2 linked regions of the Xenopus tropicalis genome follow. The protein of the gene in region 2 interacts with the protein of the main gene of each other region in a pairwise test. Links are inferred from orthologs where the notes say so. Each region holds a gene or a part of one and is shown on either strand. Other genes may lie near its edges.

Region 1 (17,446 bases), on a different chromosome or scaffold from region 2:
TACCTGCTGTAACCTGCAAAATGCAGTCCATTTCAGGGGAAGTAACATGCTGTGGAGCCTTCTGATGGGGAAGCTTTATGTGTGCCAAATTGCCTGAGTAGAAGTTCATGCCTTTTTGTTTTTCTAGCCTGCAACAATAGCTAACCTCCTTATGTACCAGAAGATTTGGAATGTGTCAGGGTGATTACCTGAATAATGAACTGCTTTTAGGTGAAGCTTGAAAAACAAGATATTACTTTTATATATCACTAATACAAAACCTTCTGAATGGTCACAAGAATAAAGTAAAGCTGGCCATAAATGTAAAGATTCCACTCATTAGGCAAAGTCTCGAAACAAGTGGATCTTTTACCCATATGCCCACCTTGAGGTCGGCAATATTGGGCTGAGTTATTTATCTGTCAGGGCGAAGGCTGCATTAAATGAGCTGATGATTCCTCGCCATGGCAATTTGTAAACCTGCCTGATTTTTGGCCAAATATTGGTCAGGAAGACACATACACAGTCTGTCAGCAGCTTTTATCAGCCTGTATATAGCCACCTCAACACTGAGCATAAAGGTGGCCATACACAAAGCAATTATGATCTTTCCTGCGTCCATCATTTGTTTCCCCCGCTGACGTTCAGGGCTGAATCGTCAGATATGGAGGTAGAAACAATAGAAATTCAACCTCCACCTGCCAATTCAGCCCTAAATGTAGATTTTGCTCAGGTGCCTTCAGCAATGCCCAACCAAAATCTTTTAACCTGACTTGATGAACGGAAAGTCTGATGCGGTTGCGGTTGACTGTCAAACGCTCGCTAACCTCCAGCAGTAAAACCTTAAAATTTCTTCCATGATCCTTATAATTTTTGTAGAGTGAGTGTTATGAGACCAACATTGAAGAGTTGTGCAAGTCATTACATGAAGTATAAGTGTAATTACATCCCTTGTGTTACGGCTGCAGATTTCATTAATAGTTGTTACACATAGATGAATGTTTTTGTGTGTGTGTTTAGGTGCTTTGAGTGACCCTAAATGCATTAAGTTGATTCTATTTTTTATGCCTGGTTTACTCCATGATGATCAGATACGTGTTTTAGCACAGTCATATTCTACAGCAGTCATTCAAAAGCAAGATTCTACATTGTGTGCATTTTCTGAATATAAGAAAATAGGTATTTAATTTGTTCAGCACTGAACTGAATTGATGTGCTTTCAAATGCTTGCATGTTAAAGGGGTGGTTTACCTTTAAGTTAACTTTTAGTATGTTATAGAATGGCCAGTACTAAACAACTTTTCAATTGGTATTCATCAACAGATGAACAACCAATTTAACCTTTTGGTTGGGACCCAAAAAAGTTGAATTGTTTAAAGGTGAAGGAAAGGTAAAAACTAAGTAAGCTTTATCAGAAAGGCCTATGTAAATACAGCCATAAGCACTCACAGAAAATCTGCACTGAGTCCTCTATCAAACAAACACAGAATTTCTTCCTCTCTCTCTCTCTTCTCTTGCTCAAACCCCCTCCCATAAGAATTCACTTCCCCGTCCCATCAGAATGTGTGATCTGAGCTACCAAGGGCTAGAGCTGCAGCAGCAAGCTACTGTGGCTACAATTTCAGCTGCAGTCTTAAACAAATGGAAGGAGCTTCTAGGGCTCTTTACACAGGTATGGTAAAGCTTTCTGCAGAATACATTTAGCTTTCTAGGTGGCACTATGGGGCTAATATATTGGCAGAAAAATTACTTTCCTTCCCCTTTAAGATTGTTCATCGTGTTGCCTCTTAATACACCGGCATTTCTTTCTGCAGCAATATAGTAAATGTATAGCTAATCCAAAAATTGGGGTTAAAAGTAAATGCCTAGACATCTGTCCTCCTATGTAAAAAGGTAGAACAAAAGGAGCAAGTGTAAATACCTTTAAAAACTGGTTAGTACTTATTTTAGAAGAAGTTATAAATTGTCATAAGTTTGTTTTATTAGATAAAGTACAAAAACATAATGTGTTTTTTCTTGATACAGTGGATTATAAATCATTCCACTAGAACCTTTTTAATTTTTTAGACTTGTACCTATGAAGCATAAATTTTACTCTAAGGGGCTGATTTATGTTCAGCAATCCTAAATCTGCTCCTTAGGGTAAAAAACAATTGGCTGTGTTTCATATACAGCTGCATTCCACATATGCTACTGTTTCTATTCCATCTCGTAGTTTATTTACACTAAATACAGTACATGTGGAACCCCTTCTCTGGCCTTGCATACATGTCTATCAGAAAACCCTGCACTACACTGATAAGGGCAAAAGCAGTCTGTTATTGGGATCTCATGAGCTACTACTTTGGATGAGCTTTTATGCCCCGTCAGTGAGTTTTAGCCCCTAGGATATTTCAAGAAAATTGAAGTTCCCTTATTTTTCCCCTAAGTAGTTTGAGTTGGCGACAATCTAATGACTGCAGGTTGATTCTTCCACTGCTGAAGATGAACAAACAAAGAGTGCAAAAGAAAAGTAGATGTTTATATTCCAGTTAAACATAAAAGAAAACATTTGGTGGATGCATTAGTAAATGCCCTTTTGAGTCATTTTCCTAGCTAGTCAATCAGTGACATACTTTAGGCACTACAGACATTACTAGTTTACAAGGCCACCTTAGGAACCGGTTATCAGTATTGGCAAAATCTTATACTACTGGTTTGTGTACTGATCTAAAAACAACAATATGAAAGGTGCATTTTTGTGAGGGGAGGGGGGAATAGGGGAGGTAGCAGCTCTTTCATCTGTTTAAGCAAAATATCACAGGGACAAATGATCATATTAACTATACTGAGGAGCTGCTCTCTTACAAAGCCATGCTGTCATTAATACATGGTACTAAATTCTGGAAGACTACATTTTTTCCACATAATGAAAGCGAATGATGACAGTCTCGACAGTTCCAATAAAAGAAAATCAAAAGTATTGGACTATGTCACATATTGTTTGTAAACAACAATAAAGATGTTCCTGTTTCCAAAGCAAACCACTGAACCATATTGAGAGATGTGTGAAACTTTGCTTAGGCAAGCTTATCATAAAACACACCTCCAAGTACAATTGCAGCTTTCCTAAGTAAGCCATTGTTAGGACATACCTGGTTTAGCTTGTTTGGAAGACCTACCAAAAATATTTAAAAAAATAAATACATTTTTCCCAAAACAATTCAATTGGCTATCTGTAACTGTTTTTATTGTTTAGCTCCTGTTAAACTTTATACATTTTAGGGTAGCTAAATTATTGTGCAAATTTCAGTACAAGGGTAATATAATCATATCCAGCCTAGCTGAGATTAAGCATAAGGATTTACTGTATGGCACTTCATTCAGTTAAAAAAAGCTTAATAAAACTAAGTATACTGAGCTCCCTGGCACATTGAGAAAACATGTTATAAAATCAGGGACGCACAAATCCAGAATTAAGTTTGGGATTCGGCGAAAATTTTGTCTTTTTCAGCAGGATTCAGATGCATCCAAATCCAAGTGTCTGCCTGTACCGAATCCTTATAATCAAGTGACTTTTGGTTACGTCAACACAGAAGTAAAAAAAAATAAGCGCATACTTCTACTTAGCCCTTCAATTTCCTTATTTGCATATGAAAATTAGGATTTGGTTCAGTATTCGGCCGAATCTTTCACAAAGGATTCGGGGTTCGGCTGAACCCAAATATAATGGACTTGGTACATCCCTAGTTATAATAATGAGTGTCCAGTAAATAACAATATGGCATAATATAATGTTTCAGAAAGTAAGTAAAGCCATCCCTATATACAGTTTTGAATTGTCCAAAAATGTAGAGGGGGGTTGGTAATAGCAGATGATACCAGAAAAGTGTTGTACTGTAATACAAATTGGCAACTCCAGTCTTTACTGGAATGGGTCAGTGTTATTGTTGGCATCATACAACACTAAAGATCATTGTAAGATATTGCTCGTAAGATACTTGTATCCAGCCATCTTGGTCCGTGTCATACCTCCTGAAAACATCAGTCAGTCTCTATAGAGAAATAAAAATTAGAATTAATATCATTACTGCAGATGTCTCACAAAACAAGTCGTTATGGAACTCTTATTACAAAAAGTATGGCTTTATTCACTCATAATTTACATGTACCAATCAGTTCTTAAAGGAGAAGGAAAGGTAAAAACTAAGTAAGCTTTATCAAAAAGGTCTGTATCTCTCCTGGTCCCACCTCCCATAAGAATGCTAAGAATTACGCCCCCCTTAGGAATGTGTGATCTTGAGCCATACAGCTGAGAGCTTCCTCATAGTCTTGCAAATTGCACATGTGCAGGGGTCTTGGTCTTGGGTGCAGGAACATGGCATTATGGGAATTTTGTTTACAGCGCTCACCATTTTTTTTCCTACGAGGCTTTTGATCATCTAAAAAGGGGAAATATGGGGAGACTTAGAGGCACTATTGAGAGAACTAAAGGTATGTCTGTAGTTTGAGATTAACACTATATTAGCATTTCCTTCTCCTTTAAAAGAACATTACAGAAAAGCTGCACACCTACTGTGTACAGGAGATTCACCTGATGTTACACATCACATGATCTTTCACATCACATGAACTGCCCAAGACAAGAAGCACCTGTCCCAGAGTGCAGGCTGTCTAAGCTGGCACCACCGTGGAGGAGGGGGGGAGGAATCATGTTTAGATAGGTGTCCTTTAATACTAAAATAAATATTGCTGAAACACATGGAAGCAGTCCTGCCAAGTGCCAAAGCAATCATTACAAAAATTAGAATGTGTGTTGTAGCATTAAATTCTGAATTTAGATATTGAAGTCTTTCAATTTAGCTAAAATTGAACATTAATTTAATAGTAATATAGTACAGACCACTGCAGAAATGTACTTAGATACATAGTAGATTGTAAGCTCTCTTGTAGATTGTAAGCTCTTTTGGGCAGGGCCCTCTCCACCTCTTGTATCGGTTATTAATTGCTCTATATGTTACTCTGTATGTCCAATGTATGTAACCCACTTATTGTACAGCGCTGTGGAATATGTTGGCGCTTTATAAATAAATGTTAATGTAATGTAATATGAATTCTGTTCTTTCTTGCCTGACTTAAAAATGAAGACATAGCAGTTTTCTTTGCATTTCACTGCACAGGCCCTTGATTTCCTTGAGCAGCCACACTGGGACCTTACTTTGCCTAAACCATTGAGGATTGAAACTGTGGCTCTTATTTCAAGAAAAATCAAAACAGCTTAACAGGAAATACTTGGCTTTAACTACTCTCAATCAGCTCAGTCCTGCGACAGGATGGGCAGGACAGAATTACTACGTAACCCACAATGCAGTGGATGCAATTCTAAGCAAATGAACAGCTGGAAACTTCAATGCTCAGTTAGTACCTTATGTGTTTACTCGAGCCTTTCAGGCGCAAAGGATAACATGATATAAAACAACTTTGATATTTGTACCTGCAGGACAATGCAGCACTGAATGAAGTCATCAAAGGCAACTTGCCCTCTCCTTTGCCTATCGAATTTTCTTATGAGTACATCATAAAATTGATCTGAGAGACGATAACCTAAACAAATGAAACAGCTAATTATGGTGTTATATGCAATTTCAGTTGTAAGTGCTCGGGGGGACACACCAAGTCAGAAAGGAAGATGAAATTACTTTTTAAGGACCCACGTTTGTGTTTAAGAGCCATTACGAAGTTATACACTAAGCCAGTAGTAATCAGGATCATGCACAGAGGAAATCTGCCACCTATACTGGTTAAAAGTACAGCACACTGGCAAGTAAAAATTTTTATGTTGTAACAGTAATTGTGTGGAATTATATTTTCTTTTAACCCACTAAGCCTGGTTAATTCAGAAAGGTAATCTCACAGTACATACAAATTGAACTTTAAAAGTAGAGAGAGAGTAAAAAAATTACCAAAACCTGACAGAGCTTGCTTTAGTTCATTTTTATCGATCAACCCAGAATTGTCTCGGTCATATGTTCGGAATATGTTCTGCCAGTCTGTTATGTACTTCCAGACGCCAGAAAATTCATTAAAGTTCACGCCGCCCTTGTGGTCCCTGTCAAACATGGCTGAAATAACGACAAACACAAATTAAAAATAAAACTGCAGTGGATTTACAATCAGATAATTATCTGCATCATATAATTATCTGTCATGATATTAACTATTAATCCTTTCACTGCCAACAACATTGGCGTACGTTGTTGCAGTAAAAGGCTTTATCTGCCAACAACGTGTGCCGTACGTTGTTTGGCAGATAAAGGTACTCTCTGCAGAAGCGGCACATTTTTTTTGCGATGACAACCCCCTGGGCAACGAGCCAGGGGGGCTGTCACACCGGCCCTGCAACGCGATCGTCGCAGGGCCGACCTCCAAGCAGCAGACGCGATCGCATCGCCTCTGCTGCTTAGTCTTCACTTCTTCCTGTTCGCCCCCCCAAGCACTGACCCGGATGAAGACTGCAGCAGGAGGACTGTGATCCCTGCTTCAGGACAGGTAAGGTGGGTTTTTTTGCACTAACACACACTCACACACACTTACAGCAGAAAATTTTGCAGTTTTTTTGTTTGTTTTTTTTTCATTTTACACACTTATATACACTAATGTACACACTTACACACTGTCACACAACTTTTACACATGTACAAACACTTTTTTTTTTTTTTTTTAGTTTCTTTTCCCTAAAAACTGTATATTTTCATTTTGGGGTCAGTACATACAGCAGACTTTGGTATATCTATACATATTGGGCATCAAACTTTTCAGTAGACCTTAGGTGTTCCTAATTGGGGTGACTTGCCTTAGTACGCAAGAAATTGTGTGCGATACATGCAGCAAATTGCAACATTTTTAGGCGATTTTCTGAAATGTCATAAAAACCAATAACTTTAGGAAAGCTTTGCAGATTGGTACTTTGGTGTAGAAAGGATTCTTTACCCATGTTGGATTTGTCAGAATGTGTACTTTCAAAAACTATATGGTTTTCTGGGTTTTTCTGTATAGTTATGTGTTACGGCACATAATATGCTGTCAGGGGGCTCTGTATGCAAAAGCTGAGTTGGCCGGCAAGAAATCCTTATGCGCTATTTTCATTTTGGGGTCAGTACATACCACAGACTTTGGTATATCTATACATATTGGGCATCAAACTGTTCAGTAGACCTTAGGTTCCTATTTGGGGTGATTTTCCTCTGTATGCAAGAAATTGTGTGAGATAAATGCAAATTGCAACATTTTTAGGCAATTTCTGAAATGTCAAAAAAATCGGCAAACAGGAAAGCTTTACGGCTTGGTACTTTGGAGTTAAAAGAAATGTGTACCCATTAGAGATTCAGGGGAATGTGTAATTTCCAAAAATATATGGCTTTCTGGGGTGAGTGTACTTTTTTGTACCAATATCCCATATGAAGGATGTAAATGTGTTGATTTTGCAGGAGCTGAAATGACAGATCATATGGGGGTATGTTCCCATTGGGGCCCCTACATGCCACATACTTTGATGAACCTATACATATTGTGCATCACAATCCACTGTTCAGTGGACCCCTGGCGTTCATATTTAGGGTGTTTTATTTGGTTACTTTATGACCTGTAGGAGATAAGATACTATAGACTGGAAGCTTTGAAGTGATTTTTTTTAAATTTCACAAATTTTGATAAAAACCAATAAATTTAGGAAAGCATTGCCACTTGATAGTTTGCAGTAGACAGACAATTGTGCCTATTCTGGATTCCCCAGAATAGGTTCTTTCCAGAAATGTGTAATTTTCTGGGATAAACCTTCTGTTAGTGGATTTTTTGGCCTTGAAATCTAAAGTATGCAGCTTTCTGAAGCAGTGCTTTGGAAATAGTGTACTGCAGGGAGTTTTTGACCTATACAAGTGAGAAATCTTCATAAAACTATATATATTTGGTATTGGCACGTTCAGGAGACATGGGACTTTCCAAATCAGTTGTATTTTTGTGCATAAAATAATTTTTGTTTCTGGTATGTGTGTTTATATTATGGAAAATGTGATTTTTTTAAAAAATTTTTAGACATTTAGAAGCCTATATCTTGTTACAGATTTGGAATTACACCAAAATTTTACCATATTTTAAAAGCTTAGGTTGTCCTGAAAAAAACAATACATTGTTTTCCTGGGCAACAGTGCAAAATGTTCAAAAACGGTCTGGCAGTAGAACTTCCACTTTGGTCTAAAATGGCTGGCAGTGAAAGGGTTAAACAATCAGTGCACTAGATAAATTACTTTTTGTTATTCAGAATGTGAATTCAGGAACAGGTGGTTCAGTACTTGGGTAAGGAATTTGATCCTGCACTGCTGTGTTGGTGTCCTGAGACAATACCCATTACCCAGTTTGGACACCAGTGCTACAAGGTGACAATTATACAGAAGGCGAGTAACAAGGTTCTTAAAAAACAAACAAACACAAACTATCCTATGGAGAACACTGGGTCTAGTTGCCAGGAAACATGTTGTTGTGCCTCCAAGGCTTTACTGCAAATAGGCAACAGTTCCAATAAACAGAACTTACATATGATAGAATTCACGGTTGCCGGATTAAAAGGTGTCCATGTTCCTGAAATAAAACAAAGTGTCATTAATAGTTTGACTTTATAATGGACAAGTGCCAAGTTATGTTCAAGAAAGCTAATAATCAATATTACTCTGTAAGATGCAACAAGAAGTAAATTCATTTAGTAGTTTTTTTGCAGTACATGTTTGGGATCCTGTATTAGAAGTCCATTTTAAGCAAATACAATTTTTTTAAATGTTTTCCTTTATCTCTGTAATAAAACAGTACCCTTATTAAGTATTAATCCTTATTTGAGGCAAAACCTATTGGGTTTAGTTAATGTTTAAATGATTTTTTAGCAGACGTAAGGTATGGTGATCCAAATTATGAAAATAACCCCAGAAAAGCCTAGGTTCTAAGCATTCCAGATAAAAGATCCTATACCTAATAAACCTGATAAACAGTAATATGTTTTGGGTTCCGTTGCAACTTGCACAAACCACAAGAGTTTCTGACACCCCACCTAAACCAGTTTTACCATAAATATAAATGCAATATTAGCATTCACTTATGTCAAATGACAATGATTATGCAACCACTTTGATTCACTTCTTATGCAAGGAAAAAGAGCGGAGAAAACATGTTGGTGCTATATACATTTTCTTTTCAATAATTTTTATTTGTGTTTTTATTTTTATACAGCGGATTTTAAAATATCAGTCAAGTATCGGTTAGCATTTATCCGAAAATAGAAGGAAAGGAGATAGAAAAGAGCCACAGGAGAAAAGTGCAACAACAAACTAAAGGATTAAATTTGACAGATACCAGAATATTAATCAGTAAAGTTTGAATATGATAGATTAATGCCTATGAGGTCTCAGGTTCATAATTATACATACATTAGTTGTCCCACAGTAGGGGGGAGGGGAGGGAAAGTAAGTAGCACAAGGCCTCATAATGTTCTTTTCTATAATGGAATGTCATGGCCCCTTATTTTGAAATAAAATTAAGATAATATCGACAGATTCCCAGCATTTGGAAAGGATTAAATATACCAAGGTTCCCAGACTTTAATAAACTTCTCATAGTTATCTGTAAGTATGTAACTTAGTTTTTCATTGCCCACACTTGCCTTACTGATTTGGGGATTTACTTTGTGTAGGCAAGATGGGACCATATACCACATCATTAGAACTTTATAGGAGGTTTCTAATAGAGAAACATTTCAGGAGCATGAAGATGTTGAAGTCTAAATTTGGAACCAAGTTTCAGCTGTGATGGTGGTATTTAGGTCCTTATTCCATGCTGAGATATATGGTAACATTGTACATGGATAAACTTCCAAAAGGAGGCGAGAAAGATTGGAAATTTGGCCTTTGGAATAAGGGTATTTTATACAAGCATGTTCAAAATAAGTTGGGGATGCTGCAGACTTATCTCTATTGTATTTATTAACAAAATGAGATAACTGTTGATAGTGAAAGGCTTCAACTATGGGAGGGTTACTAATTTCTAGAATTTGTGGCCAAGTTTTAGGGCCCGATCATAAGTAAAGGTGATAAATAAACCTGAAGCCCTTACTTGTCCACAATTGAAAAGTCTGGTAAGAAAGACCTGGGGCAAAAAGGGGGGTTACCAAGGATTGGGACTGTTGGAAAGGTTGATGAGACCAGTTTAGCCGAAGATTTATAGTTGTCCCAAACTGACAATACATAAATTAAAAAGGGATCTAGCTTCTTGTGGCGAAGAAAAGCTACAATCCAAAGTAATGCACAGGGATCAATCAGATACAGTATAATTGGGATTTCAATATGTTTACCCACTTGGTGGTATGGTAGCTTGCTTATGTATTAGTGGGGCTAACTGTGCGGCAATATAATAATTTCGTAAGTTTGGAACTCCTAGGCCCCCTTAATGTTTAGCCCTATACATAATATGTTGAGCAATTTGAGTATGTTTCTCTGCCCAGCTAAACTGGAATACCTTTCTCTGTATGACTGTTAGGTCTGAGTCTGGGATATGAACAGGCAACGTTCTAAAAAGAAATAACATCTTGGGTACAAGGGTCACTTTAAAGGCAAGAATCCGGCCGAACCAGGATAACTCCATCTTTGTGTCCAAGATTGTAGCTCTCTCATCATTTTCCATAGTTGAGGATAATTATTTCTAATCAGGCTTCAACTTCTACCCTGTATAAACATGTTGGGGCACATTTATCAAAGTACGATTGATTGCGTATTTTCTGTGATTTTTTCGTTAATTTGCGCAACTTTTTCGTACTCTGCAATAAATTTTATGCGACAAAATTGTATTTGTCACAACGAGTATGAAAGTTTCTGATTCATTAAAGCTTCGTTATCGTGACTTTCCTTGGGCCAAGCTGAAGCTGCAGAGTGCCACGGTGTTCTATGGGAGGCTTCAAAAACATGCACAGAAGGATCAAAGTCAGGTTTTCCCACCTTTTAAGATTGTTCTGATACGGAAATTTTATGACTTTCAGAACGCCATTACTATATTATCCTGACTATTGCGATTGTTTGGGAAGCATTTTTGTGACATTTCCAATCATCAAAAATTATTGTATTTAATTCGAATTTTAACCATTTCAGGATTCGAACTCGTACTTTAATGAATGTGCCCCATTGACTCCTAAATAGTGAATAGTATGGTCCTGCCATTTGAAATCAAATTTCAAAACCATTTGTTAACTCTTGTTAACTCATTAACTCTTCTGATTTAATATGATTAATGGTTAATCCAGAAACTTTTCTGAAGTGGTCTAGCAAATGAATTAGGGTCTGGTTATAGTCATGAGAATGTTGCCTGCAGTTCTATAGACATTTTATGTAGTTTCGGATTATGTGACCCTTGGATCCTAGGATATGAATTTGGTATTTACTTTTACAGTAATATTGTTTGTCCTTTCATATTAAATACCTCCCAGATGCCCTTCAAGGGAAAGCAAAGGCACATACAAGATTGATTCCATTAGCTGTACATTGGTATATCTACAGTAGAACTACTCACTATAACACATTGGTATGTGCTGGACCAGGGACCTCTAACCTTTTTTTACCCGTGAGCCACGCTCAAATGTAAAAAGAGTTGGGGAGCAACACAAGCATGTAAAATGTTCATGAGTGATTGGGGGGTGGCTGTGATTGGCTATTTTGTAGCCCTTATGTGGACTGGCTCTGTTTGGCACTACAATTGGGTTTTATGCAACCAAAATTTGCCTCCAATCCAGGAATTTAAAAATATGCACCTGCTTTGAGGCCACTGGGAGCAACATGTTGCTCACAAATGATTTATTTGGGGATCACTGTACAGGAAATTAGCTACATGGTTTTTTTTTTTACATGTTTCAACATAAAAACAACATGTATATTTGCCATGTACTTTTTAACTCAAGTGTCTACATTTAAATTACTATAAAACATTCACATTCATATTTGTAAAATTAAGTATTTACAGTATATGCCACTGATTTTCTGCACCCTTAATAAGCAGAGGCAAGTGAGCTGTTTAAACAATCTCCTGCTTGTCCATGAGCTTGCAGGCAGCAGTGCCCCACACACAACCAACCATTGTCTGGCTGCCTGGGTGTGTTTGTGTTGCTTTGGTTTCTAACAGTGACTATTTGTGGATGGAGAACTGGAAGCCAGTGGAAATACAGAATAACTTTCAATAAAAAAGTTTTTAAAAAAAAAATACACCTTGTGAAGTTGAAACAACAAGTACTCTGGAATTTAGCAGATATATACTTAAAAACATATATACTTTAAAAAATTTCTAAAAACTTTCTAAAAATTAGATTATTGATATTGGTTATTTTAAAAAGTAATTTCAATATAAGGCTAGTTTTGGAGGATATATCTTAAACTCTTTTCAGTTTATTCTACTATTTACTATTACCAGCACAATAAACAATAATTATTGAATGGCTTTTTAAAATTGCTGAGCGGGAAAAAATAAATAAATACGTGCATCTGAAACCCCTCCTGGTTTTTATACGCACCAATAGGACTGTGCACTTTAGCAAACACAGCACACAGTCCCTACTGGGAACAGTAAAATCAGAATTGACAAGAGAAAAGAGCAACGTTTAGTCTGATAAGCATTCACACAGCCCCAGGATGCAGCACAGATCCTAAGAATTGGAAGAAGATTGCAGCACAGTAGTCACTGAGATAGTACCCCTGGCTAGTACATTTTTCTGCAAGGTGGAGTGCCAGCCTAGGACCTAAGGTCTGTGACACACAGGGAGATTAGTCGCCATGCGACAAATCTTCTTTATTGTGGGCAACTAATCTCCCCGAAATGCCATCCCACCCGCTAGAATGTAAATTGCCAGCAACTCAAGGCATCTTCGGCAAATTGCGCCGCCGTGTATGCCATCGCACCAGTGATTTACGCGCGGCGACTAATCTCCCCATGTGTCACAGCCCTAAGGGAAGAGATTATAATTTCTGTGAGTAGAAAAAATACACACAAACTTAAATCCCTATATGCATTCAAATTGTTGGGTATTATTATTTAATAAACCTTACAGATAAAAATGGCAATAACACCAATAAGTAAATATGCTCTATACTATTTTACACGTGTGGTTCCTTTAGGCCAGTGCTGTCCAACTTCTACGGTGCCGAGGGCCGGAATTTCTCTAGCATACATGGTGGAGGGCCGCTAATTGAAGCCAGTTTTGACCACTCCCCTTTTTGAAACCACACCCACTTCAAACCACACCTATTTTATCACAATGGTGGTAGCACAGCAAAATCCCAAATGCTTGGTCCTTACTGTGGGGATATCAACTGTCATTCATATGTGAAAGAATTATGTCATATTAAGATATACCCTTAAATTCCATATGCCTCCTCCTCCCCTGTGGATAGCAGAGCAACCCCCAGTACATAATTACACACCTTAGGGACCATTTAATGGCTATTTCCAACTGCTAACAAACTCCCACAACAAACCCCTGCCAGGTTCACCTCCCACAAGCAGCATAGGGCAAGCAGAGTATGGCACACACAGGCAGCACTCTGCCTGTCCTATGCTGTCTGTGTGTGCCATGCTCTGCCTTCCCTATGCTGCCTCTGTGTGCCATACTCTGCCTGCCCTACCCTGCCTGTGTGTGCCATACTCTGCCTGCCCTACCCTGACTGTGTGTGCCATACTCTGCCTGCCCTACCCTGCCTGTGTGTGCCATACTCTGCCTGCCCTACCCTGCCTGTGTGTGCCATACCCTCCCTGACCTATGCTGCCCGTGTGTGCCATACTCTACCTGCCCTATGCTGGCTGTATGTGCCATACTCTGCCTACAGTACCTGTGGTGTGAAGAAGTGAACAATGGGAGTGATTACAGCCTGAGCCTGAGGTGTGAACACTGCAGGGGGTGGACAATACAGAGATTAAAAGGTGTGAAAAACACAGGGGATTACATTTTTAAACAATACAGAGGGATTACAGCCTGAATCTGAGGTGAGAACCATGCAGGGGGCCAGTTAATCACAGTACTGATACCATTTAATGCTTGCTCAAAGGTAAGCCATCAAAGCAGCCAGACAGGTGGGGGGCCACACAGAGGGGGGTCGCGGGCCGCATGCGGCCCGCGGGCCGCAAGTTGGACAGCACTGCTTTAGGCCATTGCTACAGAGGGCTTATACTCACCCTGCAGATAAACGCAGGCCAGGTATCTGTCCATACACTCACCCGGAGTCAACAACAATAGGTTTTTTGTTTTTTTTGAGGGCAGGGGCATATTTTCACCCTGCGTTTACCCACAGGCCAAGAATAGGCCCCATCTGGAATTGGCCTTAGTCTGCACTTTAAAGCAACTGGCATAATTGTAATTTCTGACAAACACTGTTTTATCACTTTGTAGTACAGGTATAGGACCCATTATCCAGAATCCTCGGGACCAAGGGTATTCCAGATAAGGGGTCTTTCCGTAATTTGGATCTCCATACCTTAAGTCTACTAAAAAATCAATAAAACATCAATTAAACCCAATAGGATTGTTTTGCATCCAATAAGGATTAATTATACCTTAGTTGGTATCAAATACAATGCACAGTTTTATTATTGCAGAGAAAAAGGTAATACAGGTATAGGACCCGTTTTCCAGAATGCTCGGGACCAAGGGTATTCCGTATAAGGGATCTTTCTGTAATTTGGATCTCCATACCTTAAGTCTACTAAAGAATCAATAAAACATTAATTAAAACCTATGGGATTGTTGTGCACCCAATAAGGATTATTTATATCTTAGTTGGGATCAATTACAAGGTACTGTTTTATTACTACAGAGAAAAAGGAAATCAGTTTTAAAATTCTGAATTATTTTATTAAAATGGAGTCTATGGAAGATGGGCATTCTGTAATTCGGAGCTTTCTGGATAACGGGTTTCCAGATAAGGGATCCCATACCTGTACATTTTAAAAATCTGAATTATTTTATTAAAATGGAGTCTATGGGAGACGGGCTTTCTGTAATTCAGAGCTTTCTGGATAACGAGTTTCCGGTAATGGATCCCAAACCTGTACTTTCCTGCCTTATCAGGAATATCTGTAATCTGATTTTAGATTGAATGGGAAGGGCTCTGTTTAATGGAAGATTTACAAATGCATGCAGGCATATATGCAAACATGTTGCACGAAGAACAAACATAATATTGTTTACTGTAGAAATATGGCTGGTATGTTAGTTAATACTTCAATATTTTCTTTAAAGAATGTGAATCAGCATAATAAATATGTATTTAAACATCTATATTATGTAAATGTAGAGGAGTCAGGGCCTTGTCTTAGTAAAGTTCTGGTTATAAATACACAAAATTTAATTTAAATGTGATTTTTCCATAAAATGTAAATTGGCAAAACTCTGCAGTTCAGTATTACCTCATGGGTCCTTAACAGATGTGTGATTCTGTATACTGAACCAGTACTGTATGATTTATATGAGCTGTCAGAGTGGTGCAGTTTAAGGTGGGGAATCTAGCATAGTAACACAGGCCTGCTTTTGTCCTTTTTCAAACAAACTGCATGAGGTAGAGGAAAAGTTTATTCCATGTCACAGGCAAGTACAGTGCTGTACTGTAGAAGGCTGCAGCTTGTTTCCTAAACCAACAAGACTGACAATCAAATGCTGAAAGGCACAATAACGTACATGGTTTGAAACTCAAAATAAATGTGTAGGATTTGGGAATCCCAACTGCTTGGCCTAGGTGTAGTGTACAAACCTAAATGGCATCCCAGGAGTGGAGTTTGTGCTCTTTAATCAGCCATAAGAGGTCAAGAGCCAGAAAGGACTTATTTACACTTAAAAGGGGCTTTAAATGTAATCAACACAATTATATATTTAGCACATTTACAGTAATGTGCCAAGCAATAACAGACAGCTAACATAAAAGCAGGGCTGCCTTTGTGACTGAAGGAAAAGCATTTACAGTAATGATAAATTCTCTCCTTCACACCTCCCTACAGGCAGAATTAAAATGACAGTAGCATGGCAAATACAGTAGCACACAGTACAAATATACAGAAAACATACATACAATTAATATACTAAAACCAGCATCACAGTAGCAAACTACTACAGAAATACACAGTTAAACATGTTTACTAGTATCAAACAAAATGCATAACGGTTATCTGCACCAATACAAACTATATTATTATAGTAAAATTCCAGCAAGCTAGCATATGATTATGATATATAGATATGTAGATAAAAAAAACCTCCATATTAGTATTCTGTTTAGCAGCCAAATAGCACAATAATAATGAGCTCTATAGACCTGTACACCATCTTATGAATAAGTTAGCATCAATGTTAAAATATACTGAGGTTATACTGAACATGCAGCATTAATTCGCTGCTAAAACTGCTAGTGTAATGCCAAAATAACAGTAACAGTAGCTACAAACTACAGCGGCATACATACTACATACCTCCCAGCATTTGAAAAATGCAGAGGGACAAAAAGTAATGCAGTGCGTAGCAAAATTTTTTGGGCATGACCATTTGTGTGATCACCCCCCCAAATACCACTCACATTTTACAATATATAGCAGGTTAAATTTGAAGTCTGGGGGTTTGGGGGGTTGTTTTATGTGTTTTTAAAGTTTTGCTAATGAACGTGAAATTGCCCTTTAAAGGAGCAGGTCAGTGTAAAAATGAAACTAGGTAAAACAGATAGGCTGTGCCAAATAAAAAATGTTTTCAATATAGTAAGTTAGCCTAAAATGTAATATATAAGGGCTGGAGTGGGCAGATGTCTAACATAATGGCCAGAACTCTACTTCCTCCTTAGTTTGCATTTGAATCTGACCTGCATGCTCACAAACTAACTGAACAAGTTATGTCCCATGTGGCCCCTCCTAAAGTCACTGACTAATTAAGAGGTTAGAGAGCTAAAAGCAGGAGGTAGAGATCTGGCTATTAAGTTAGACATCCGCCCACTCCAGCCTTTATAGATTACATTTTTGCCTAACTAACTATATTGGAAATATTTTTTATTTTGTGCATCCATTTTCCCCAGTGTCATTTTTACACAGAACTGTCCCTTATTAGTTACAATTGTATCTAAGTGCAGGTGTTGACAATTGAGTATTCTGTCAAAAGCCTACTAATCTAATTAAATTTGGAAAACTTTGTATCTTTTTTGGCATTCAGTGCAGGAGATCAAAGGGAAAACGAGGGACTTTTAAATAAGAATCCAGGACTGCAAGCTGAGCTGTCAAAATCGGCACTGTCCTGCAAAAATCGGGACAGCTGGGAGGTATGACACAAAAATATACAGGATAGTGCAAGGCTCACTGAATTTGGACTGGTTTCATCTGCCCCCCTGCCCCAAATACATAAGTCAACCCCTTCTCTGACCCAAGAAATTTGAAGGTCCTACCGTGGTTT
Region 2 (16,670 bases):
GTACTGTATTTCACATTAGCATGGCTGGAGGAAAAAACTTACAGTAACCACTGCACAGCTGATGTCTCTTAACTGAAGTTTTTGGTGCCCTTTGGAATCAGGAAAAGGGAAGCACTAGGTTGTATAGCACGGAAAGCAAAGGCAGCAGCAGATGGTTTTGCTTAGGGAAGTGTAGTGCAACAGACAAAAAAATGTACTACAGTGCAACTTTGGTTTTACATACTTGTTTTTGTGGTCCCAAAAATATATAATGCATAATGCTTTATCCTGATTTTTACATTTTCCAGAATTTTGCATAATTTTTTTTCTGGTTTGCTAGAAAAAATAAAAAGGACATTTCTACTGTATTTTGCCAATTAAAATGGCTACCAAAAATCAAAAGCAAAATCAGACTTGGCGTATGGTACACTTCTCTCCACCAGCCTACAAAAAACAGGCCGGCAGAAGTGGACGTGATCTGATCAGAAGCTTCATGTAGGTGCACTGACAGGCAGAGCTTAAGCTTACTATACACATACCGTTTTTTCCTTTAAAACACAGGTGAAAAAAATGCAGACTGTACACCAGGTCTGACTTTGCCCTTAAAGGAGAAGGAAAGGCTAATAAAGAGTTAATCTCAAGCTGCAGGCATACCTTCAGTTCTCTCAATAGTGCCCTTAAGTCTCCCCATATTTCTCCTGTTTAGATGATCAGAAGCCAAACAGGAAGAAAAAACGCTGAGCTGGGTAAAGAAAGTTCTGATAATGACTCTCTCCTGCACCGAGACCCAGACCAGTGTACATGCTCAGTTAGTTAGACCAGTGCTGTCCAACTGGCGGCCCGCGACCCCCCTCTGTGTGGCCCCCCACCTGTCTGGCTGCTTTGATGGCTTACCTTTGAGTAAGCATTAAATGGTATCAGTACTGAGATTAACTGGCCCCCTGCATGGTTCTCACCTCAGATTCAGGCTGTAATCAGGCTGTATTGTTTAAATATGTAATCCCCTGTGTTTTTCACACCTTTTAGTTTCTGCATTGTTCACCCCCTGCAGTGTTCACACCTCAGGCTCAGGCTGTAATCACTCCCATTGTTCACTTCTTCACACCTCAGACATAGGTACTGTAGGCAGAGTATGGCACATACAGCCAGCATAGGGCAGGTAGAGTATGGCACACACAGGCAGCATAGGTCAGGGAGGGTATGGCACACACAGGCAGCATAGGTCAGGGAGGGTATGGCACACACAGGAAGGGTAGGGCAGGCAGAGTATGGCACACACAGGAAGGGTAGGGCAAGCAGAGTATGGCACACACAGTCAGGGTAGGGCAGGCAGAGTATGGCACACACAGTCAGGGTAGGGCAGGCAGAGTATAGCACACACAGTCAGGGTAGGGCAGGCAGAGTATGGCACACACAGTCAGGGTAGGGCAGGCAGAGTATGGCACACACAGTCAGGGTAGGGCAGGCAGAGTATGGCACACACAGTCAGGGTAGGGCAGGCATAGTATGGCACACACAGTCAGGGTAGGGCAGGCAGAGTATGGCACACACAGTCAGGGTAGGGCAGGCAGAGTATGGCACACACAGTCAGGGTAGGGCAGGCAGAGTATGGCACACACAGTCAGGGTAGGGCAGGCAGAGTATGGCACACACAGTCAGGGTAGGGCAGGCAGAGTATGGCACACACAGTCAGGGTAGGGCAGGCATAGCATGGCACACACAGTCAGGGTAGGGAAGGCAGAGTTTGGCGCACACACAATCAGGGTAGGGCAGGCAGAGTATGGCACACACAGGAAGGGTAGGGAAGGCAGAGTATGGCACACACAGTCAGGGTAGGGCAGGCAGAGTATGGCACACACAGACAGCATAGGACAGGCAGAGTGCTGCCTGTGTATGCCATACTCTGCTTGCCCTATGCTGCTTGTGGGAGGTGAACCTGGCAGGGGTTTGTTGTGGGAGTTTGTTAGCAGTTGGAAATAGCCATTAAATGGTCCCAAAGGTGTGTAATTATGTACTGGGGGTTGCTCTGCTATCCACAGGGGAGGAGGAGGAGGCATATGGAATTTAAGGGTATATCTTAATATGACATAATTCTTTCACATATGAATGATGGTTGATATCCCCACAGTAAGGACCAAGCATTTGGGATTTTGCTGTGCTACCACCATTGTGATAAAATAGGTGTGGTTTGAAGTGGGTGTGGTTTCAAAAAGGGGAGTGGTCAAACTGGCTTCCATTAGCGGCCCTCCACCATGTATGCTAGAGAAATTCCGGCCCTCGGCACCGTAGAAGTTGGACAGCACTGAGTTAGACAATGAAGAAGCTTCCTGCAGATTGGCTCAGATCCATGGGGGGAGGGAGGGGGCAACAGGAGAGGGAAGAGAGGAGAGAGCTGCGTGTCTCTGGCACAGGAAAACAGACACAATAAATCTTCTGAGACAGAACTCAGTGCAGTGTTTCTGTGAGTGCTTATGGCTGTATTTAGATTTTTATCTTTCCTTCTCCTTTAATGCATATTCTATGGGCTCAATTGTGTATTTCCTCTAGGGAACACCTACCAAAAGTGTAATTACAAAACACAGTAAATGTACATTTATGAGATCCCTTAGGGCAATGGTACCACAGAGACCTTAGCCGCACACCCTAGCTCTCCAAACCTGTATGCCCGGTGCACACTGCTGGAGGGATCGGCACCCTCCAAAAATGGTGCAACAACAAAAAAAGCAAATGGCACTCAGGGCTTCAAACAAGGGAAAAAAACCCTTAAAGTATTTTTATTGCGGAGGTGCACCTCCGCAATAAAAATACTTTAAGGGTTTTTTTCCCTTGTTTGAAGCCCTGAGTGCCATTTGCTTTTTTTGTTGTTATCCCTTAGGGCAATGACAGACAGGACGATTTCATGTCCACACTTAAATCTTGGCTACTGCAGGCTACAGAAAGTCTCTTAGTTCCTTCCTAAAATGCAAATCGCCAGTGCGGCAAGACTACTCTCCGAAGTTTCCTCTTTGGGCTACTATGCAAAGCCAAACCTATTCAGCATGGCATTGTCACTGAACATCAAGAGAAGACATGGGCATCTGTGGGATCTGTTGCTGTAAGATAAGCTTTGTGTGAAGGGTCTAGAAAAATAGAAGCAAAAAGCACACTGCACTGCAGGCACACAATAGGCATACTGCAGGTATTCTGTGAGAAAAATGATCATATGTAAACTGAAACAACAGTCCCACTACATTTAGAAGAGTATCTTTTTAGTAATGGGCATTAGAGCAAACCATTTCCAACACCCCTTGTGCAGTTGCAGACTACAAAGTATTCTTCAAATATTAATGAACATTAAATGTTACCTAACAATGTTGATTGTTTTTCCTTTGATAGACCCCTGCTTTTGTAAGTGTTACTTGAAGTTCCTAAACCTGACTTTATTGCCAGCGTGACTGTGCCTTTTTAACCTGTAACCAGTTATAGCTTCTAATGCTAACAGACTCCTGCTGCACAAATACTGCAGCCCCCTCATAGAGGAACATGGGGGATCAGATAGGTCAGTGTTTTTCAACCTTTTTTGGGCAAAGGCACACTTGTTTCATGAAAAAAATCACGAGGCACACCACCATTAGAAAATGTTAAAAAATGTAACTCTGTGCCTATATTGACTATATATAAAGTAATTCTCTTGAATAGGAATCAAATAAATACAAAGAAAGTATTTTATAATTACTTTAATATGAAATATTAAGTAAACAAAATAGTGAAATTTTCTCCACAAACCCACCCCCCCACTGATTTTTTTTTTTTTTTTTATACACACAAAAATTTTATATTATATATATATTATTATTAATTGTTTTCTTACATGTCAGGCTGTCTTGGGGTGCGGCATCCAGGGGTGTCCCGGGATTGTCCTCCGGTGGGGAGTAGGGCGGCTGTGCATGGGCCTGGCCCCTGGTGGATCTGGTCTGTCGGGGCAGGGCCTGGGCAGTTGCTCCCCCCGGTCGGGTTGTGCCAGGGCAGGATAGTGCTGCCTCTCCTCTCTGGTTGCTCCGCCCTCCTGGATCCAATGCCGGATGACGTCACAGGCAGTGACGATTTCAGGGCATCAGGGAGCCAGGAAGTGGAAGGTGTCCCAGAGGGGACCGCACCTACGGCACACCAGGCAACATCTCACGGCACACTAGTGTGCCGCGGAACAGTGGTTGAAAAACGCTGAGATAGGTAAATGTAAAGCATTGGGCAACTTACTTTTAAGGCAAAATTCTAAATAGCATACATAGTTAAGTTGGGTTGAAAAAAAAGTTTTTTGGTGCTTAAAAAAGTCAAATTCGAGTTTTGGTTCGAAAACTCGAATGTCTGGTATTTATTAAGTGTAAAAAAACCCGAAAACATGGATGTAAAAATTTACCATCTAAAAGTGATAAAAGAGATATTAGAGTTTTTTATTCAAAGAAGTTTTGTTTGAATAACCGACCATTTTGCAAATAACCGACCATTCGATTTGCGAGTTTATTCAATTTAGAAAGACAAACTCGAATTCACAAACTAACACAATCAAAAATTGATAAATAAGCCCATAATTGTAGATTTCAGTATCACAATAGCCTTGGATACTATGCTTGTTCAAGAAATCATCCAGGTCCCTCTTAAAGGCTGTGGTAGAATGGCCCAACAAATGAGAGAAAAGGTGAGTTTTCCCTTCAAGTTCTCCATAGTGGGAGATGTGATCTTTAAGGGAGAGGATGATAAACGGAGAAGGTTTGCTCTGTTTAAAAGGTTGTGCTGTCTGGCCCTGAAAGCTATAGGGTTCTGGAAGGAACAAACGGATCAGGCGATCCATTCCAGTAGTCCAGCTCACCTATTGGAGCTTACTTTCCACAGGAAGGCTGTCCTGTGGAAAAGGTATTTAATGGTATAGAAAGGTGCGAGACAGTCTCTCAGAGCAGGTCACAGAGCAGGAAGGATACCTCTCTGTGTTAGGACTCCCAGAGGGGCTGGGGGTGCTGCCTGCCACTGCCAGAGGCAGAGGGAGCCCAGAATTGAGAAAGCTGCCAAGAGACTGAGGATCTAAGAAGCTGAAAGGAAAACCAGGAGGCTGAGCTAATCCCCCAGAAGTGTTGTGAGTACAGGGGTGACCCCAACATTTGTGTTTTCCCACTGGTAGTCCACAAGGGGCCCAGGTTAGTAAGGGAACTAATATAATGTGTGAAGGTACCGCCCAGAGGGCAGGATTTATTTTTATGATTTGTTTTGTACGCTGAAATGGGCACCCCTGTGTAAATAAACTGCCTTAAAGCCAAGAAAGTGTCTGTCCTGGATCCCGCTAGTTTACAAGGCATTAACAGAATCTGTTATTACAACTTTACTAGGAAGGGCATTCCACAACCTCACTGCTCTCACTGTGAAAAACCACTTATGCTGCTTCAAATGGAAGCTCCGTTCCTCTAATCTAAAGGGGTGGCCTCTGGTGCACTGATCCTTTTCATGGAAAACATCCCCTATCTGTCTATAATCCCCTCTTGAGAGGAAACTTTTGCGATTTTGTTGAAATTGCGGTGCCGCGTATGCCATCCCACCGGCAATTTACATTTTCGCCGGTGGGATGGCAATTCGGGGAGATTAGTCACCCGCGAAAAGGGAGATTTGTCTCGGGCGACTAATCTCCCCATGTGCCAGAGCCCTTAAACATACAATGTTGGTCTGAAAAGATCTCAGAAGGTTTCAGCTCTCAGAAGATCTCAGAAGGTTTCAGAAATACTGTGATGGAAAAACATGATTTTTTTTAAACATATTATTAGAGCTTCTCCAGCAGAATCCTGTATTGAAATCCATTGCAGATTTTTTTATATTTAATTTTGAAATTCCACATGGGACTTATTCTCTGATAAACTTCAGTCACACTTTACTGCTGCACTGCAAGTTGGGAGTCATATTACCCCCTCCCTTTCCCTCTAGCAGCCGATCAGCAGAACAATAGAAAGGTAGCAAGACAGCGGCTCCCTGACACCTGTATTGTGGTAAGTGGTAGATATCAGAATAGCACTCAACAGCAAAAAATCTGGGAGTAGGAGAAACAATACAGTAGGTTATCTGAAAGCAGTTTTAATGAGTAGCGCTGGCTCTTTCTGAAAGCTCAGACTCAGGAACCTGAGTGACCTGAGATGGCTGCCCACACACCAAATACATTTGTTCAAGAATAATTTTTTAAATGGCAGAGTGAATTATTTGCTATGTTAACAGTGTCATTTAGAAATAAAAAACACCATCAAAATCATGACAGAAAAAAAACATCAGTGAGAAAGGTAATAAAAATAATAAAGATAAATAGAATTAAAATTCAATCTGCCAGAGGAAACTGATTTTTTTAACAAGCCCAAATACAATTTGCATCTTAGGGTTTGATTAATCTGTCCTTTACAACAGGTATGGGATCCCTTATCCAGAAACCCGTTATCCAGAAAGCTCCGAATTATGGAAAGCCCGTCTCCCATAGACTCCATTTTATTCAAATAATTCAGAATTCTAAAACTGATTTCCTTTTTCTCTGTAGTAATAACACAGTAACTTTTAATTGATCCCAACTAAGATAGAAATACTCCTTATTGGAGGCAAAACAACCCCATTGGGTTTAATTAATGTTTTATTGATTTTTTAGTAGACTTAAGGTATGGGAATCCAAATTACGTAAAGACCCCTTATCTGGAATACCCTTGGTCCCGAGCATTCTGGATAACGGGTCCTATACCTGTACTACTATAAATACCATATTGGAACTTCATTTTTTACTTTATATAAAGAACTATTTAAAAATAAACATATTTTGTCCAGTGCTGTACAAAAAGTGAATTATATGCAACATATAGGGAGATATATAAATATATATCAATAAAGATGTGTAAAAAACTTTATGTATTGAAGTTTGTGTAAAACAAATGGTGTATTTATTAAGCACAGTTGTTAGACGTGAACAAACAGCATGCATCTGGATTACAGAAATAATCCATTACAAAAAGCTAATTGCCTTTATAAAATAACAATTGCTTTGCACTAGTCTGGACCTCATGTAACCCACTGAAGTCAATGAGACAAATTCAGCAACAGTTGGCATGAAAAGTGGTGTAAAATGACACCATGTTTGACATAATATGAGAATTGTACACTATGCTACTAGGGTTTCTGACTAGCAGTGCTTTACATACAGGCCTAGCCTGTAAAATCACCTGATAGGGCAGCGGTGACATTAAAAATTTACCAGCAATGTTATTGTCAGTAAATTTGTAATTCCTACTCTTTCCTGAAGTTTCCTGCAGTGGCACCCCACTTTTCTTAACAAGTTCACTTCATGCAACTAATCAGCCCATTCCTCACCCTGTAAATGTATTGGGTACCACATCACATCACCGCTTGCCAACTTCATAGTTGTACATGTATGTTCACATACATGAAAAATCTAGTGGAATTTACTGGCATAGTTTCTGAGCCCCTAGGCAAATAGAATTGCAACCACTTTATTTTACACTCTGGACTAGCTACAGCGATATTGCATAGGATTATACTGTAGCCCAGAATGGAGTTGTATGCCCATAAAAATCTAAATTCTGACTGACTGTCAATACACCCACTGATATTCCCCAGTTAAAACAAAAAAGAACAAGGATTGTAAAAGAGAGTTAACAAATATTTAGTCATTTCCCCCACAGAGTTTCAGCAGAATCTTCCTGTAGTCACCAGACGTGTCTCCCTGTGAGAAGGGGGGAAAAAAAAAGTCATAAAATATATATACACAAAACCAAGGATGGCACTCCACTTCAATTTCGGGTGCAAGGTAAATAGTTCAATATATATATATCTCTTCTGTTAAAAATATACCCACCCCCATTCATGAAAGTTACCCTTTTAAAATAACAGTTGCCCCAGTTGCTCTGGGTAATAAATTGCTTAAGCATCTATAGGAGACATATTTACAAGAATATATAGCTTCATAATTTAATTTAATATGTTTGTTGGTATGAAATTCCTTATCCAGACACCTGATATTCAGAAAGCTACAAATTATAGGAAGGCCATGTCCCATAGAGTCAATTTTATACAAATTATATTAATTTTTAAAAATGATTTCCTTTTTATGTGTAATAATAAAACAGTACCTTGCACTTGATCCTAACTAAGCTGCATACATCAATATTAGATAACATTTAAATGATTTTTGCAGACATAGGGGTACGGTGACCAGTGAAATAAATGGTGACTATTACATTTAAAGTTTGTATCTTGGACAACTACTTTTTCTTAACAACATGCACTTAAAGGCACTGTGTGCAGACACCGAGCAGATTTTGGCATAAAAAGTATGAGTAAGCATTTTTGAACCAATCTTTGCACATTTGAGTTAAAAAAGCTAGCTTTTTGCTTAAAGTTCAGCTTTTCACTCTACTGTGAATGAGCACCCGGTGCAGAGAAAAAAGAAGATTGCTCTTTGGTGCTTGCATAGAAGTACCCCAGCCTGGACAGTTTTGTTATTACAGTAGCACCAGCCTGGGGTATCAGGTAAGCACAAAGCGAAAAATAAAGGCACAAAAAGACCAACAGTTAACAAATCACTCACCAAGTCGAAGTGGTGGTCCAGGTACACCAGCCCCAGACCCCTCAGCATAGGGTGCATAAAATAGAAGTTTAACAGTTGAAAGGCTTTATTCAAAATTACATTAAAACATCTCCTAAGCCCTAAGCGCACTTAATCATGGGCCCATGATTAAGTGCCCCTAGGGCATGAAATGTGTAAGGTCTATGCAGATGCTTTAATGTAATTCTGAATAAAGTCTTTCTACTGCTAAACTTCTTGACCCCTGTGGAGATTCCCGAGTGCCTGCATGCCCATTGTGATTGCTGCAAGTTTTGCACCCCCAGTGATTACAACTTTACTTCTGCTTTAAGGTTTATACTGCCGTGAAAAAATAGCATCTTGGAATATGGATGTTTCAAAGTCACAAAAAATGCATACTTTACTTTACACACATTTTTGTGCAATATCCACTCTGTGTGTGTGCTCACAGGCTAACACAATGCCTGTCAATACACTTTTAAGGGGGAGACAATCAAAGAAAATGCAGGCACAAAAAAAAGCAAACAACAGCCCTGTGTGCCACTTGCCTTATAACAATATGAAGCCTAAAGTTTTTATAGACTCACATTGATGACTGCCATGATAATATAAATATAAACAATTTCCCTCTTGCTTTGATGTCTCTTGCTTCTATAAGGCTTAAGGAACTTGGCTGGCTATGTCCTGAAAATGTAGGAATCTCCATTTTCTGGGTGAATCAGAGTCACAAAGCCTTTTCCCTAAAAGTGCTAGGGCAAAGACACAGAGGACATTTTGTCTCCTGCGATAAATCTTGGCTTCCACAGGCGATGAAACATCCCATTTCCTTCCCACCAGCTAAAATGTAAATTGCTGGTGGGAAAATATATGCGTCTACTTTCCGAAGTAGCTCGGAGTTTCCCGCATTTGAAGATTAGTCGCCCATGGTAGTGGGTGACTAATCTCCTGAAGCATCATTGCCCTTACAGTGACAATAAAAACTCAGTCACTACTTCTCTACTTCTGCAGTGTGTTTATCCCTACTATCTTCTGCCTTACCGTGATATCTGTGTAAAGGGATCTTCCATACATTCTTTTATATTCTGAACGGATATCCAACAAGTCTACCTCACTACGGGACACCATGATGCGGATCAGAGTCTTGTCCTTTGTGCCAGCACCCTGAGAGAATAAAGCAGAGAAGATTTAAGAGTCATTAAACTTGGTAAACAATAAATTAGAAACCTTAAGGTGGCCACACACGGCGATTTTAGATCTTTCGTGCGACCATCGGTCCCACGAAAGATCGTACAACCCGCCACTAACCGTTCAGGGCTGAAACGGCAGATAAGGAGGTAGAAAAAGTAGGATTTCTACCTCCTTCTGGCGATTCAGCCCCAAAGACAGACCGTTGTCAGCAGCATCCTGCGGGGTTTCGTACGATATTATCAGTGCGTGTATGGCCAGCTTTAGAATATTAAAATGTCTTGTGTTGTTGGTCAAAGTCTTTAGAGCATATGTACTGCAAGTGCACAGAGCAAAGTGCAAATATTAAGAACAATCACCATGTTCTTTTCCCACAATGTGTTTTTTCCAGAATTCTGGTGTCACTGCAAGTGGAAATGCTCTTGATGCAACTGTGCTGTAACTACAGCAACTGCATTTGATTCACCCAAACTGAAAGTCATTTCCAGTGTTCTGCACCCAATTATTTCAGTGCAACTGAACTGCAGCAATTGGGGCTAAGGGTGCTACTGCCAGGTCGGAAGGTGGTGATGGAAGCTCCATACCTGCAATCAAATTGTTTTTATGTGAAACTGTGGGGAAAGTGCGGGGACTGAACTGCACTTGCAGACATACATGAGCCCTTTTATTTGTACAGTTAGAACTGATAAATAATCCTAACCCAGTCTAGAGACCTTTTGGCCTCCCCACTGCTAAATGTTCCAAATAACTTTTAGTATTTTATAGACAGCAATAACTTGTCTTGTGAGTTTGTTTGCATCACTCTGCTTATGATCTGCTGACCAATTAGAGTCAAGTAATATAACAATCTAACTGTATCGCTGTTGGGATTTGGCATAACCAAATCCTTGATTCCCGTTGACAGTGGGGGTATCAATTTAATACAGATGCATAGTTTCACAAACTTTTAATCCTTAAGGTAACGTATACCTTCATTGATTTGTAGAGACGCTCAGCGAAGAAGGCAGGAGTATTTTTTAGGCATTTTACTAAAAGAAACAGTAAAAGTAAAACATATAAGCACACCATGCTCAGACTTAGAAGAAAAAGTTTAGCTTGAGGCTGACCAAAACATATAGGTAAAATACAGAGGGTATGGAATTTTACTACAGCTTATTCAGTTCATACTGTACATACATACTCACATGTATCCCACAGGTAGAAAGGTAGTCTTGCTTATTCTGGAAAATGTTATTATGTTTGCAACAACACGAATGACCAGCTGTTTAACACTATGAGTGCCGCTTTTTTTTTTTTTTTTTTTCAGATCAGGGTTTAAAGGAGAAGGAAATGTTAAATTAATGGGGGTGGGATGCCAAATGTAAAGGCACAGGGAGATTTAAGCTGTCAATTTGGGTTCACCAAACAAGCAAATCTTATGGTGTATCGCCACCACAAAGTATGGTAATTACTAGGGGCAAGCAGCAATAGATTGGTTGTCTTTGCAGAATTAATGTTTTTCTGGCACAGGAACAAGCACTTTTGCCATATGTCAAACAAGTAAAGGTCCCCATACACGGGCCGATAGTAGCTGCCGATATCGGTCCCTTGGACCGATTCGGCAGCTAATAGGCCCGTGTATGGGCAGAACCGAGCGGCCTGGCCGACCGATATCTGGCCTGAAATTGGCCAGATCTCTATCGGCCAGGTTAGAAAATCCAGTCGGATCGGGGACCGCATCGGCTCGTTGATGCGGTCCTCGAACCGACTGCCCCATGGCCGCAAATGTAATTCGATCGTTTGGCCCCAGGGCAGGTTATTTTTTTTTTTAGCTACTTGCTACCCGATATCGCCCACCCGTAGGTGGGGATATCGGGTGAAGATCTGCTCACTTGGCGCCATCGCCAAGCGAGCGGATCTTATAGTGTATGGGGACCTTAAGAGTAAGTTCCACTGATGTGACTGATGTATTATCTCTGTAAAGAATTGCAGAATATGTTGTTTACACAACAAATAACAATAATGTTTGCCTATTAATAACTATAATGCAACAATGTAGCAAACATAATACTCCTTGCTGCAAAGCAAGTATGTGCATATGTGCCCCATAAATAACAAAACTTTATAAAAGAAAATGTAATATTTTCCATATTTAAAGTTTGGTGCATACTTAGCACAGTAACACATTTTATTATGACATCTGAGTTGTCATTCAGTGACATCACTGTTTGGAATACATGTTAAATTAAAAAAAATAAATCTTAAAATACTTTATACACAGATGCTAAAGAATAAATATCTCCAATTAGCAGGTTAGAATTTCTAAAGAAATAAACACTGCACTCTGATCACTACACACATGGTTATTAGGAAGTGAAGCATAGTATGGAGCTTGGAAAATACTCTCATTCAGTAACACAGATAAGATGAGTACATCCACAAAACATGCATGAAAAACACTGCAATGATGTCACACACTAGTTCATTATAAGATTATGAAATGGAGCTTGGGTGGAGTTAGCGATCTGGGGATTACCAGACATCTTCTGAGAGCTTTCAAAAAAACCAGGCCAAGAAAAAAACAATGAGCATTAGTGTTAAAAACAGTCAGTACTTATTTACAAAATGCAATTCAGCTTGACTTGGACACTTTGCATTGGTAAAAAGCTAAACCTGAATTGAACTGAAATAAAATGAGTGTGGCCATAAGACGCCAACAAATCATAAACAGGCTTGTGGAACATAAAATGTATTATTCATTTTATTCAAATATAGTGCAAGTTAGTTATTTTTCCCAAGTCAACATAGAGCTTAAACTGAATCATTACCTGCATGCAGAAGCCAGGTTTCTCAGTGTCTAGTCATTTATCCAGTGAAGCATTTTTCATCTTATATATCCACACATACAATTTTCCCCCAACATAGGTATACAAATAAACACCATTTTTATAAATGTAGTCTTTCATAACATATTAGGGTGCTGAAACATGGAGTGATTCATAACCTGGTGGAAAGTCTTCTCTCCCATAGGTGATGAAGCGCCTGACACCACCTGCCCCTTTGCATTAGTCGGAATTTCAGCATAAAACACATTACATGCGGCGACCCCAGGTAATCTCTTAAAAATCCCTTTTTTCAGGTGATTACAAGGCTCTTAATCGGTAGTCATTTATATAGTTTATTTACTTTACTGTAACTGCAGAGATACTGGCTAGTTGGCTGGTGCCTAGCTTCACTAAGATACTGTTTGTGTGCTAAAATAAGGAACCATAAAAAATGCATTAAAACAGGTTTAGTTTTCTTGAACTGTCCCGGAATCAAATACTTTGCAAAATATATTTGAGCCTAGATTAGCCAGTGAGGAGAAAACTACTGAGAGTAGCACAAAAAGGGCTTGTAAAAAATGAGGATGGTGTGAACTGAATGGGATAGTAAGTAACTTACCCACTGCCAACATGCCATTTTCAAGGTTCCCAGACATCTCACGACAGATGCTTTTCTCAATGTCTCGATTACACATTCGCTGGTATTCAGAAAATACTGGGGAGAGAAATGTGTAAAAATCACACATTTGAACATGTGCAAAACTACATTTTAAAGATTTGATCTCCTAGTTTATGTGTAATAATGAATCGGTGGCCCCTCCTACTATAAAGGTGGCCTTACACGAGATGATAAAAGCTGCCGATCTGTTTCTTCTGACCAATATCTGCCCAATATTAGCTAATTTTGACAGGGCTTCATTCGCTTAAGGTTCTAATCAAGTGAAGGTTTATCCCTTTGATGCATTAATTTAGCTGATTACACTTTCTCGTACCAAATAAATAGGTTATATTTCCTTGATTACTTTTGTGTACATGGTAGTTTTTTGTTTTATATTACACAATGGTCAAAATCTTTAGACAAGTAAATAAAAGTTCAACACTTTATTAATCAAATTAATTGCATACTACAGCTATATTTACAAAGTTAGTTACCTGCATTAAGGTGTGCTCTGCTTCGAGTACATAGGATGGCATTAAATTTGGACTCGTCTGTCCCCAGACGATTCTCTCCAGCAGCATACAGCTCCTGCACATAACAACATGTATAGCAGAAAAATGGCTGGCTTGTGATTACTCTTTTACCTACTTTACAGAAATCACGTTTTCTCAAATAAATTCAGAGAATGGTGTTACATTTTACAGGGCTGCATAATTAATATTTCTAACACTTTATCAACAAATCTAGCATTTCTCATACAGCAAAGTTAAAAAATTATATACATGCACTATACAGGTTAACATATCTATGCAGTGATTTTCAATCCGATGCAGTACCTCATCCATGTTTCATAATCCTGGCCCTAACATAACTACAAATGCTTTGTAACTCACCTGCACATCCCGTTGGACTAATGCCATGTCTACGTTGTTGCTTTCATCTCGATTTCCCTGCAAAGAAGACAGTCATAGATCAGTACATATAATACAAATTATAATTATATTTTGGGTTGTAATTATCAAAATCTGGAAAAAAAAAATGCAGTTTTCCCTGCATTTTGTCAATTTGACAAAAGCCCTTTTACTTTTGCTTGAATGCCAAAATGCAGTGCAGCTTGACTTGGACATTTTTTAAACAACCAAAGTTGAATTTAATCAAAATATAAAATATTTAAACATGCTGTCAGCGTATACAGTTTTCTTGTGTCAGTACAAACTGCTTCTCATAATAAAACATTGTAGAGGCATCAGTACCAACTGCTTGTCACTATATAATATACTTTGCCAATGCCTGGCCCAGAGTAGCAATCTGGATGTTCTGGCGAATACTCTGTTGCAAACTGCCATAGATCTGTGCTTTCTTTTGACCCTGAGGCGGATCTCTTCCCTGATATGCCCACCTAAGGTGGGTCAAACGATTCGATTACAACAACAAAAATACGAGCCACTGGGCAAGGATGGCTTTAACAAGTGAATGTGGTCTAGCCCGATTTCCGGCCAGATATCAGTCAGGTAGGCCTGTTGGAGGGCCCCATACATGTGCAGATAAGCTGCCGATTCAGTCTGAAGGGCCAGATTTGACACATGTGCCGAATATTGTTGCAAAAATGCATGTTTTTGGCATGTCATTATTTATTCCATAAACAAAACGCAGACCTAGAGAAGTTTACCGTACACCCTGTGTGATTCTAGCCTAAGAGGACATGCACACCAAAGCCTGAAGCAGTGGCAATGAAGCTGCAAAAATGTAAAAAAATGATGGTGCTTAAAAACTGAGGATGCTTATTACAACAGTATTGCTATACATCTGTAAGCTGGTTATGATGTAATAAGGACCCTGCCCAAATCCTGGAACACAAAAGGAGCTTTGGCCCAAGAATGCGGTACACAAAATTAATTGAAAGAAGACACAAATCCTACCTGAGCCAGTGAAACCAGCAGCCGTAGGAAGTGACCAGAAGTGTCACTTTTAATAGCTTGTTCCAAAGTTTTCTTATATTCTACATGAAAAGCACAGTTCTATGTTATACAACTAAAATACATAAAAGTCACAAATAACCTGTAAAATTATGCTTATAAACAATTTTTAGTGACGAAACAGTTCAGCGATGGAACTTTTGTCACGACTGTTTGTGTATTTAAAAAAATAATGTTCCCCTATTTTAAAATAAAAAGATACTAGAAGTCACATCAAAGTTCCATTATGTGCATAAAACATTGTGTAAATTCCTTGGTAATTGAAGATGTGATTATATCCACTTGACCAGAATCAGCCTGCCTCACCGGGACACCAAGGGAAATCCCGGTGGGCCCTGGCCCTGGTAGGCTTGGAGGCAGGGCATCTTGTCCTTGTAGGCGCCAGTGCCCAACTGAGGTGTGCAGTGGCAGGTTTGGTGGCAGATCAGTATGGTCCATCTCCTACAGGTGCCTGCTGGAGTGCACTGCTCTTAAGTATTGCTATACAAATCTTCGAATGCACACCCACAGAACTGGCATAGCAGTTCAAAATGGAGATTTCTATAGTAAGAGCAGCACACTTGGCTGCAATGAGAAGTTAAAGAAAGATGCAGATAAGCTTTTCAATAAGATCATATTGTTTTTTTGTATTGCTTTGTGTTTCATCTGCTTGCTTCCAGGCCAAGTCTGCTTTTAAGCCCCCTACTTGCTAAATAGTGGGTCCTATCAGCAATAATCTGACCTGATTTACATACTCACTTACATAGGGGAACACATAGCTCCAAGTATTCCAAGAGGCCAAAGGCAGCAATATAAAGAGTATGGTTTCATTAGATACACTGGCTGTTTAATGATCCCTTGGGCCATTAGAAACTCTGAATCACAGCTGCCAAATCAAAAACATGGTACTAGCTGTATTAAACTACGAATATTTAGAAAAAAGTTTAAATCAAACTGTGCTTAGAATAACACTGTCTGCAAGTACTGTCATACTTGATTTCAGTTCCCTTTTAACCAATTTGCTTCCCAATGACAATGCATGTAGACCAGGATCTTTAAAAAAGTGCATCACATTGGTATTACATAAATAGCTTACTATCAGCCACTGTTGTCACAGTACCATTTCTGATCTAGCTTTTGCAGACAAAAGTTTTACCCATGTGTTAACATTATACGCTTTGGAGCAATTTCCCCCCTTTTCCCACTTTGCACCATGCCATACCTGTTTTGTATGCATTACAGATTTCATGTACTGCAGCATTACTCCTAGAAGCCAGAATCTCAATGAGACATTCTTCATCTGTGCCAGCTCCCTGTGTAAACACAATTTCAAGATGTACTGCTAAAGGCAAATTATGCTGAAAAGTAGTGAAGCATGCTTCCTGAATATATAGACAAAACATACTAGCAATAGAAACAGAAAAGAGCAAACACTACCATCGCTTTTGGTTTTTATGCAACATATGTATGGCTCCTTTTGTATTTGGGAATAATTCAAG

The links.
Region 1: the proteins of anxa11 (region 2) and pdcd6 interact in binary tests that used the Homo sapiens proteins (3 or more experiments, as listed by UniProt). The link is inferred for Xenopus tropicalis from reciprocal best matches to the Homo sapiens genes ANXA11 and PDCD6.

What each region holds. Positions count from the first base shown.
Region 1 is NC_030682.2:69,350,439-69,367,884, forward strand, and holds the end of pdcd6 (programmed cell death protein 6), read right to left. Parts: intron 8,593-17,446; coding exon 8,548-8,592; intron 6,081-8,547; coding exon 5,922-6,080; intron 5,563-5,921; coding exon 5,453-5,562; intron 4,014-5,452; coding exon 3,915-4,013; 3' UTR 3,182-3,914; downstream 1-3,181. UniProt on the Homo sapiens protein: Calcium sensor that plays a key role in processes such as endoplasmic reticulum (ER)-Golgi vesicular transport, endosomal biogenesis or membrane repair.
Region 2 is NC_030683.2:53,051,428-53,068,097, forward strand, and holds the end of anxa11 (annexin A11), read right to left. Parts: intron 16,485-16,670; coding exon 16,394-16,484; intron 15,216-16,393; coding exon 15,136-15,215; intron 14,167-15,135; coding exon 14,110-14,166; intron 13,805-14,109; coding exon 13,711-13,804; intron 13,274-13,710; coding exon 13,178-13,273; intron 12,287-13,177; coding exon of another isoform or gene 12,219-12,286; exon of another isoform or gene 11,633-12,218; intron 10,783-11,632; coding exon 10,724-10,782; intron 9,731-10,723; coding exon 9,608-9,730; intron 7,709-9,607; coding exon 7,649-7,708; 3' UTR 6,886-7,648; downstream 1-6,885. UniProt on the Homo sapiens protein: Binds specifically to calcyclin in a calcium-dependent manner. Required for midbody formation and completion of the terminal phase of cytokinesis.